Linked DNA regions of Drosophila melanogaster. The protein of the gene in region 2 interacts with the protein of the main gene of each other region in a pairwise test. Each region holds a gene or a part of one and is shown on either strand. Other genes may lie near its edges. The genes, in order: PolH and CG34386.

Region 1 (5,735 bases), on a different chromosome or scaffold from region 2:
ACTAAGCCCTCAGCTTAGTGGAGTGACTTCATCGCCGGACGTACACAGACTGATGGCCTCACCGTGAATCAGCCACTAGAGCAGGGAGTTCTCTGACTGAGCGTGGGACAGAGAAAGGGAGAAGTCCGAGTGACAGTGGATTGGCGGACCGCTTAGCGGGGCTCAAGTGGTTCTTATTTGGGCATGTGAACCATTAGCATAATTGTGCGCTTATACTGGGGTTAGGGATCGGAAGAGTGGATGTGCCGATGAGGCCTAAGGCTAGCGCATATGGGCAAGCTAGGCTAGGATAGGGCAGTTAAAAAGTGAAGCACTTAAATTTAATAAGAGTTAGCCGCAGAATATTTCGGGATTGTAGATAAAGTCGCGATCAAAATTAAATCTTTAATCGGTAAAAATTTTGTTAATCTACGATATATGTATGTATACTATCTGGAGTCACAAAAAGTAGGGAAGCAAATAAAACTGTGATAAATACATTTTAAATTGAAAATCCAAAAATATCACTCGCAGTACACCTTTTTCATTCACCATCCGTCTTTCAGAATCATAGATATGCAATCGAACTTTTGAACACCTTTTTTAAAAGAGAGAGTGGTACATTTGGTAAAACAAGAACCCGTCCCAACGTCGTGCGGCATCAAGTATTCCAATAGGTCAGTGCTGCACCTTTACTTCAGGTGGAAGTCCTGCGTTGTTGTATTGTACGCTTTGACCATAGAGTAAACAGACAGGAAATTAGGTCACGATAGTATACAAAAACACGCCCTTCCTGATTTCCGCCGCCCACCACCACCGGCATTCTATGAGGCGATTAAAGTGGGCCCGGTATCCCAACCCCGATTCCGAGTAGCTATACGTGAGTTAGCCCAATTAAGCCATTGGACATTCGCTGGACATACCACTCGGCGCATCAATCAAAACAGCCGGCCAGGAGGCGGACACGGAAGTGGCATAGCCGGAAATAGACAAGGATTGAGATTTATTTCTGGTCGCTCGGTCAAATCAATAATTCCCGCGTAATCCGTGCGTTAACCCAAATGAACTTGGGAAATGGAGAAGCCAGAACATGCAAATGTGTGTTACGGCGGGGAATGGGGTCACTAAGAGATGTGTGTGCGTTTTCAGTTGCATTTTGGCAGCGGCTTATATGGAAAAATCAATATCTAAGCATTTTGTTAGAAGGTGCCGCTGGAAACTTGGCAAATAATTTACTCTTTGGCAATGTCTTACGTTTAAACTCGTTTTATTATTCCATACAGAAAAACAGAAGACAGGGTTTAAGGATTTCTGAAATGCATTCTTCTTCGGCGTAGATGTTCCGACAATATATGTTACTTATTATTAGGTGGTAGTTATGCCACGTAAATATAACTCCCAGGACTCCCCGGACTGCACATAATATTTACTCGCGTTTGTTTATATTATTTCCGAGTGAGAAACGACAAACTATAAAATATCCAATATAGTGTGACCAGGTTTTGCTCTAATGCGAAGTACGGATTGGGTAGAGATAAGTATTTTTCAAACTACGCTAGACTACAAAGCATCGATACAAGGGTACGTTATTTAATACTCTCTAATTTTGAATTTCTAAATAGCTTAGTAATAAGAGAGTCTTTAAAAGTATAAAGCTCCACTACTATCGAAAATATGTTTTCAACAAAATTCTTTACTTTTACTTTAAGGAATATCTAACTAAGAAATGATTTATATCGAAGATATAACACAACTGCTTTGATATGTGTTAAAGAGCATATTTTTATTATTATTATTCCGAATTCTTTTATCAGATTTAAATATGGGAAACACTTTAATGTATTCAGTATTCAAAAATGCATCGGTATTTTAAGAAGTCCCCGCCACGGCCACACTCCTGGCGCGCAGTGAAATTCGCGCAATAATACGAAATGAAATCATGTCCAGCGCACGCAGCCATGTCAGCATGCAGAACAAGTACGACCGCGTGGTCCTGCTGGTGGACATGGACTGCTTCTTTTGCCAGGTGGAGGAGAAGCAGCATCCGGAATACCGCAACCGCCCGCTGGCCGTCGTCCAGTACAATCCCTGGCGAGGTGGCGGCATCATAGCAGTGAACTACGCCGCTCGTGCCAAGGGAGTCACTCGCCACATGCGCGGCGACGAGGCGAAGGACCTGTGTCCGGAGATCGTGCTCTGCCAGGTGCCGAATATCCGGGAGAAGGCCGATACTAGCAAGTACCGCGATGCCGGCAAGGAGGTGGCCAACGTGCTGCAGCGATTTACGCAGCTCCTGGAGCGCGCTTCCGTGGATGAGGCGTACTTGGACATAACGGAGACCGTTAACCATCGCATGCAGCAGATGCAGAGTGTAAGCTCTGGCACATAATTTTAAAGCGTTTTATTATTATTTTCCTCGTTGCAGGGAGCCTTTGCATTGCAACCGCAGGAACTGGTGAACACCTTTGCTGTGGGCTATCCCAGCATTGGCGACTACGTCAACAAGATAACAAATCGCTTCGCCAATCCCTACATGGACGACGAACGCTACCAGATGTCCTACGACCAAAACGACCTTCCCGCCGTCCGACAAAGCGACATTCGGCTTCTTATTGGAGCCTCTGTGGCAGGTGAAGTCCGCGCGGCTGTAAAAAAAGAGACAGGCTACGAGTGCTCGGCTGGCATAGCGCACAATAAGATCCTGGCCAAGTTGGCAGCTGGAATGAACAAGCCCAACAAGCAGACTATTTTGCCGTTGACGGAGACCGCCAGCCTCTTCGACTCCTTGCCTGTTGGCAAGATCAAGGGGCTGGGTGGCAAATTCGGTGAGGTGGTGTGTGAGACATTAGGCATAAAGTTCATGGGCCAGGTGGTCAAGTTTTCGGAGGTAGATCTGCAGCGCAAGTTTGACGAGAAGAATGGGTGGGTCCCTTAAGAGGAGTAGACCACGTTCAAAGTAACTTATTTCCTCTTATTCCAGAACCTGGCTATTTAACATCTCTCGCGGCATAGACCTGGAAGCCGTGACTCCCCGCTTCTATTCGAAAAGCATTGGCTGCTGTAAAAAGTTTCCGGGTCGAAATAACATTACGGGGTTGAAAACCCTTCAACATTGGCTTGGTGAGCTTTCCTCCGAGATCAACGACCGCCTTGAGAAGGACTTCATCGAGAACAATCGCAGGGCCAAACATATGGTGGTGCAATATGTGCAGGACATTGACGGCGAGGAGGTGGCCAGCTCCCGCTCGACTGCTCTCAGAGATTACGACCAGGAGTCCATCGTAAGGCTTTCTCTAGACCTAATCAAGGCAAACACTAAAACGTTTCTGCGTCCTGGTAGCGAGTCTGCTTTAAACAATGCTATCAAGTTCCTTGGCATTAGTGTTGGCAAGTTCGAAACCGTCTCTAGTGGGCAAAACAAGCTGCAGGAGATGTTTGCTAACCAGGCTGCCAAGAAACGAAGGGTAAGTGGAGATGAGCCAGGGCAACTGCCTAAAGTTGAAATGGAGAAAAAGCAGAAGCAAACGGACGAATTTAAGATGAAGAGCTTCTTTGCAAACTATTTGCAAGGAGCTAAAAAAGAGGATGCGAAAGCAGACGGCATTTCTGCGAATCCCTTGGCTGCTGCAGCAGGTGCTCCAAACAAGAATTTCGTAGAGGAATACAAACATAAGCTTCATGCGGCCGTAAGGACTGAAGGAACTGTTCTCACATCAACACCAGCGGAGTTCAAGGAAAGCTTTTTTTCACAGTACCTAAAACAACAAAAAAAGACAGGACAGCAAGGGTCGGTTACATCGAGGGAGGACTCCTTAGATGTGCAGGAGCTGGCCGAGGAATTGGACGCCATTGAGGCTGACAATTCGAAAGATTTTGAAGAAGACACTGAAGAGGAGACGGAGTTAACTAGTGATACCCACATGTCTAAGCCTGAAGGACAGTCATCCGATGCCGGACAAGAACAGGATCCAAACACCTTGAATGATTCAACAGGGAATGACTTATACGTTGAAACTGGTATTGTGCCTCCCACGCTTACTGAAGACGAATTGAAGCCTTCAACATCAAAAAGAAAGTTCGATGAGATCGAAAGTTCTGTAAGTAATTACAAGGAGTGTTACGTAGAGTTTGCAGTACCCAACCTTCGCACCGATATCTTGCCTACTATCAAATGCGATCAGTGCGGAGCAAACATTCCCGACGAAGTTAAGTCCCTACAAACACATAGAGACCATCACTTCGCCCAGGAACTAAGCCGAACGCTAAGAAGCACCGAGCGGGAAGAGAGGACGCAGAGCCGACAGAAGATATCTCTTAAGCCGACGCCACCCAAAAAGAGCAAGAAGACGGCTGGTTCTGGTAGCAGTTCCTACAGTACGGCACCACCGAGTAACAGCATAACCAAGTTCTTCCGCGCCAAACCAACTCAGGAGCAAGCGCCCAGTGATCCACAGATGAATCAGTGCCCCGAGTGTAAGGCTTTCATCAAGTGTGTAGACATGCCGGAACACTTAGACTACCACGTAGCCAGAAACCTTCAACGTGAACTAAACCAGCAGGATCTGCGAACTCGAACCGCAGCTCTGAATAAAGAAAAAATATCTCCAGTTCAGCCAAAGAAACAATCTCAGAAGAAACTGAACTCAACCATTTCTGCATCTTCAAGCGGAACAAAGACAATTGCCCAGTTTTTCAGCCAAAGCAATTAGAGAAACCCTTACACCGCTCCAAGTATTTGAACCTGTATAAGTACCTACGAATGGACCACAGACAAATTTACTTCACTTTAAGATTAAAACATTTTCACATTCAATTCCAAATTAAAAAACAATAATAATTTTTTGCTAGCACATATCCTAGTTATTAAAATCTCAATCTGGCTCTGGACAGCAAATTGATTAGGATTGTTTATTTCTTTTTTTTACTGCTGTTTATTATTTTTTTTTTCAAATCGAGTAATGAAACTCTTAGATTTAATTTTTTTTGTTTTATTTTTCCAATTTTAGGCTTAAGTATTAATGTTGATCATTACCATTACCATCCATCCGTTAATTAATAAAACACAACGCTCTGTCAATGCTAAATATTTTATATGTATAGTATGGTTTGTTCTTAGCGTTATAACACATTTGAAGAGAAATGTATTTGTCTTTGTATTTGCAGGCTGCCTTAAAATAAGATTACGTTAGAACTACTGCGCTTGAGTGGCCGTGACGACTAGATCAAGATCCTTGCTCTTCGATTGCTTCTTGACGCCTATGGCGTCCGCTTCCTGCACTGTTGTAGGTAAAACTACGTTGGTGGTCTCTGGAAAGAACAGCGTGAGCAGGCCGCTCACGATGGCGGCGCCGGCGAAGAGCATGGCAGGAGCATTGGCATAATACTTGGCCTGTGGAGAAAGGGAAAGGAAGCACTTAGATATAACAGGAGATCCTTGTAGCTTTGAGCACCCACCAGAAGAGGCGTCTGCGGGGCCAGCATGGAACCAAACCTGCCCATCATGGAGCAGAAGCTAAGCAGACTGTTTCTCAGATTCGTGGGATAGATCTCTGAGGCGAAGAAATAGAGCACCTGGAAGCTGGCAGTGATGGTCAGTTTGCCAACAAGAAATAGCACCAATTGAAGCACTGGCTGATCCGCGCCGGTGAATATCGTTCCGATGCAGCAAAGACCGCTGGCTAGCATCAGCCCGCAGAGGGAGTACCGCCGGCCGAAACGGTCCATGATGAGCAGGGGCATGAAGAAGCCTGGAATCT
Region 2 (5,016 bases):
TAACTGCAAGGTTAGCTACTTTACACAGCTTATGGCTTATTGTAATGGCAAAATGTTTTTACATTTCACTGCCAAAACATGACCACAGAGAATGGGATGCAATTTGGGCCGAACTTATTTATTTAACTGACGTGTTTTTCGGTTGTGGGTAGTGTCAAAAACACGTACCGAATGCTAATCACACAATTTGTTATGTGCCAAATTTGAAACTAGGCTTTTGATTCACTTTAAGCCCACTGATTAGATGGAGAACTTTTACCAAAGTCAGGGGAAAAGCATTGGGCAAATACAAATTATAATAGATGGAGGCAGAAAAGCATGGCTAAAATAATAAACAATGAAAATTTTGGCTCTAATTTCGGGTCATAACACATTTTGCGAACAGACTAGAACCTAATTTAATTCTGTGTGAAAGGCATGGCATGGCGTTTGTTGTTTTTAGCCAAATTTCCTGTGGAAATTCTTGTCATTGCACTTAAATAATGTAAATATAATTTGGCTGTTTGAGCACATTTTATGCGAGACCATGTTTTTTCGGCAATGACGAAAATTGGGGACATGTTTTTGTTTGCCATTTCATTTGGCTGCATTCAGGTGACAATGCAACTAATTATAGTCAACAATGTGGCATGCCCCTTCCAATGTTCCACGCCCCTTGGCACCACTCTAAATAAATCAGAAAGTAATTAAAACAACATGAAATGCGACTGTGAGTTACAGTCGCAGCTTCGGCTGCCGTTTGAGTTCCAGTTTCAGTTTCAGTTGCATTTTCATTTTCATTTTTGTTTCCGTTTTAGTTCCAGCGGAAGCTGCACTTGCCATCCTTGTATTGCGGTGCTACCCATTTAGCAAGCAAAATAAAATGGAAAATGAAATTATAGGGCCAATTAGTTGGTCATTGGATACCCTAATGCAATGCAGGTCTTCTAGTTAGCCAGTTTCCAATAAATCATAAGCTAATTGGTAATCAAATGTGAATCATCAGGCTTTTATCTCATATTAGTATGCATCAACTTTCCATGAACTTTAAATAGTTTAATCCAATCCATATTAATGTAAAAAAGCAATCTATTTCAGAGTGCTTTCTGATGTTTCTTGAAACCCTACATTTTTTTTAAGGGTATACACCACAAAACCAACAATGACAACCATCGGTCGTGGAAACACAGCCTGAACAAAACAAAACTGGGAATAGGAAGTATCTTGGGATGGGTATTCGCCAGGATTCATGGGGAGGCAACAAGAGATGGCCAAAAGAGAAAAATGCAGAAGCAAAACAAACTTAATTTACGCTTATTTGCGTTGACAAATGCTTCCGAAGGAGTGCAACTTTTAATTGCAAAATTTATTTAATTTGCTCATGCGATGCGAAGCTAACTGATTAACACAGAGAATGCAGTAAATGCAGGCGCATTTAAGCCGAATAAAGCAGCGGAATTTTTCAGTTATCAGTAACATCTATTTAATCCGCCGATGGCTTCACATAGTAGGTGTCAGTTTCATGATAATTAGCGAACTACTTCGCTCGAGGGCGGCCATACGTCATGGCCAGTTGTCAATTGGCCGGAACGATTTATGGCCCAGTTTAATCAGCATCCGGCCGCCATAAAATGCGAAATCAATTTTGCCATGGCAAGCATTAAATTCTTTGAAAGTGACGTAGCAAGAAATGTACATTAGTTGTGGCGAAAGTGTGCGAGCGCTTTTTGCAGGCAGTGTTTCATTCTTTTTTTTTTTTTTGCCGCAGGCGGAATTTTCATTAAAGCATTTTTGATGTCTAATTTGCATATTTTTGCAGCTGGCCGAGTTGCATGCCGACACTCTGAGGCAGCCAAGTGACACGTTAAGCATTCAAAAGCGGGTGGAAAACTGGCATGGAAATTGGGCTGTAGAAAGTGGAAAGGCCCACTGCACTCGAAAGAAAAGTGCAAGCTCTTCTCTGCTGTCGGCGATGGCCGGCTGTCACTCGCTCCTCCACTGATGTTCTGCTCTTCTTCTCTTCTCCGCCATGGCTCAGATTTTGGCCAGGACAAAGTGTCGAGTGGCAACACTAATTCGCATGCTGCACGAACAACAGCAGCAACATGGAAAATGCACACAAGCCCATCCCACCCTTCCACTGAGGTTTTTTTTTTTTGTTTGGATTTTCAGCTAAATTTGTGCCAGCGCTTTTCCCGCTCGCTTTTTGTTAATTTCCAATTTTCAAACCATTTCTGGCTGACTGTGTGCACAGCTGCTCTGTCTGTGTGTTTGTGGGCGGGCTTGTGGGTGTGGGTAGTTTCGGTCAACATTTCGTTTGGCTCATGGCATTAATTCAATTACTGTTTGCATATTGCCAGAGATCCAAGCTCATGTAAGTTTTATCGTTACCGGGCAAAAGGAGTGTTGGTGTTGCACTCGCATTCTTGCGAGGAGAACTTTAAACTGTTCCCCCCAAAACTGCAATGGGCTTATGAAGCAGTGCGAGTAAAATCACACAGAGTTTTAGAAAAAATCTGGATTTGAAACTGACGGGTAAGAGGGCACCGCATGCAAATATTTTTATCAGAAAAACTCTCTTTAGAGTTGGGTTTTACATCTTTCAGAATTTCGAGCTAAGTATTCATGACTTTATAATCGTTTTCAGTGGAGCAAATAGTGAAGTGGAGAAAGAATTCCCAAATTTGTATTTCTATTATTTGTTCGTACACAACAGATATGTTGAACTTACCAATGCTTTGGAACACATGACGCAACAATGCAAATGGCTTCTTTTGATTTTTGCGAATATTCAAGGAACCTGATGAGTCTGGGGATATTTTCAAAGACAACTGACAGATCCTTGTTTCATATTTTGTAGCTGTAGAACTTATTTCCATATATTTCAGACACCGAAACAAATTTCTCTAACTTTTCACCGACGGTTCGGAGCGATCGCGACGCGATTTTGTTCAGGCTTCTGCGAATTGGTATTGGCCTTTGGTGCGAATGAGCCACCAGAAGCCAGATGCTTGGCCATTTATAATGTTGGCCAGAAGTGTTAGCCGTGGTTTAGCGCCATGGCCGATGCTTTGGCTAGATATGCCACCTGTTGGTATACAGGAGAGCGATTGACATTGGGAGCGGAAAAGCCAGCGGAACGCTCAAACTAATTACTCCCCTATCAAAGCCTGTAAATACAAGCGTGGTCAGTGAAAAAATTGCCGGAAATATGCAAATTATTTGATAATAGAATAAACTAGATGGATTTAATTAAATTAAATAGGTATGGTAATATCAATACTTTGTTTATATATTTTTTCAAACTACCATGGGTCTGTTTTTGTACTTTCTCTTTCTTTAATGAACCAAAAAAAGTGACTGCTATTGTGTTGACCTCCATTGTAGCTACATAGTAAGAAGGATAAAGCTGGACGCCACTGTCGGCGTCGTCATCAGCGGCATTATATAAAGTGCATACCAATGTAGAAGGGGCAACTAACTGAGCGGTGGCAGCTTGCTTATCGCCCCGCAAGTGTCGGCAGCAAGAGGGAGATAGGGATAGTTCGGCAAGAGAGAGAGAGAGAGAGAGAGAGATAGAGAGAGAGAGAGAGAGAGATAGGGAGCGAGGGAACAGGAAGACGCACCCACACTGCAGTGGAATATCCCGCCGCGCTGATAACATTTGAATTTTTGGCTTGATTTATGGCCATAACATGAAACTAACTCACTGACATATCGGAACAAGCTACAACAAAAAAAAAAAAACCAAACCAGCACTGCGATAGTACAACAACAACCACCGTGTATATCTATGGCAATTTTCACGCTGACGCAAATTGAATCGAGTTATTGGGGCATATTCATTAGCTTGTCTTAAAGTTTCACGAACGTCGACAGCTGATGCCCGAGCTAAAATTAGCTTTTGATATCTTTCATTGAAGCACAGGTAATTTCATAGATAAATTCTTTTACCCCTTTTCAAGCGGAAATCATTGAAATGCCAAATAAAATGACAGATTTCGTCTGTCATCATGTTTTTCTGACATTTTTGCATACACCCTAATAAACTTTTCAGCCATAACTTCTTAAATCTTTCAAATTATAATAACATTTAAACAATTTAAGTATATTAAGTTGAGTTTTTTTTCTTAAGATTGAAATTGGACTTGTTGAGTTAAAAAACCGAGCAAATGTGGGAAGATGCAGTTTTCCTCTCGTGTTATTTCTTTCCGGATGAACTTAGCATTTTTCAAAGCTGCTTCACATATTTGCAAAACGTTTGCTTTTGGGTTAAGCCCTTTTATTGCATTCTGCAGATGGCGATGTGACGTTGTGCCATTACTGACCCTCTGCCACTCCCTCGGCTCCTTCACTTAAGATCTAATAAACTTTACATTTGTTTGGCTTGGTCTACCCTCATTCAGTCTGCTGCCTGATATTGCCCAGTCTGAGCGCAATTTTTTTGTGAGGTTCTCGAGAATAGCAATTTTTATGCGAAGTCCTCATCTGCTGTTGGCCAACTTGCCTCCATTGTTGACTTCTACGTAATGCCTGTGCTTTTTGTGGCTTTTCGACTATTTCGCTCCTCACTCATTTCATTTCATTTTAGGACATTTACTTGGTCCATAAGTTTGTCAGTCAGACTTTTCACTGCCTGTTTCCTGGCTCCTCGGCACTTTGACATCTTAAAGTTTATCAAATAGTGGCCACAAGTTTTGCAGCTTTTGTGTATGTATATATATTTTCTGCGGTCATGCTTTGCGGTTTCTTCTTCTCGTTTCTATATTTATTTATGCAGATCTCTATTTTTCCACAAACTTCTGCTTCTGTTTTCGCCTTTTTGTGCACCGAATGCATAACGGGTTTTAGTTGAATAGCTTTATTTCACCATCATTTTTGCAATTAAAAATTATTATTTCAGCATACAACGCGGTGTATACGGTGTATGCTATATGCATTTTGCAGCGGCTTGGAAAATTTTTAATTAGATTGCGTTTTACTGGAATGCTTACTTCACCATGACCCACTGAAATTCGAGTGCATTCCACGGGTGTA

Evidence for each region.
Region 1: the proteins of CG34386 (region 2) and PolH interact in a two-hybrid assay, tested with the Drosophila melanogaster proteins (one large-scale study listed by BioGRID).

Annotation. Positions count from the first base shown.
Region 1 is NT_037436.4:21,937,953-21,943,687, reverse strand, and holds PolH (DNA polymerase eta), read left to right. Parts: upstream 1-1,875; 5' UTR 1,876-1,918; coding exon 1,919-2,350; intron 2,351-2,404; coding exon 2,405-2,901; intron 2,902-2,959; coding exon 2,960-4,688; 3' UTR 4,689-5,054; downstream 5,055-5,735. Other genes in the region: SLC22A family member, read right to left, coding at 5,171-5,368, 5,434-5,735. UniProt on the Drosophila melanogaster protein: DNA polymerase specifically involved in the DNA repair by translesion synthesis (TLS). Plays an important role in translesion synthesis, where the normal high-fidelity DNA polymerases cannot proceed and DNA synthesis stalls.
Region 2 is NT_033778.4:18,060,634-18,065,649, reverse strand, and holds the start of CG34386 (uncharacterized protein), read right to left. Parts: upstream 3,236-5,016; 5' UTR 2,729-3,235; coding exon 2,711-2,728; intron 1-2,710.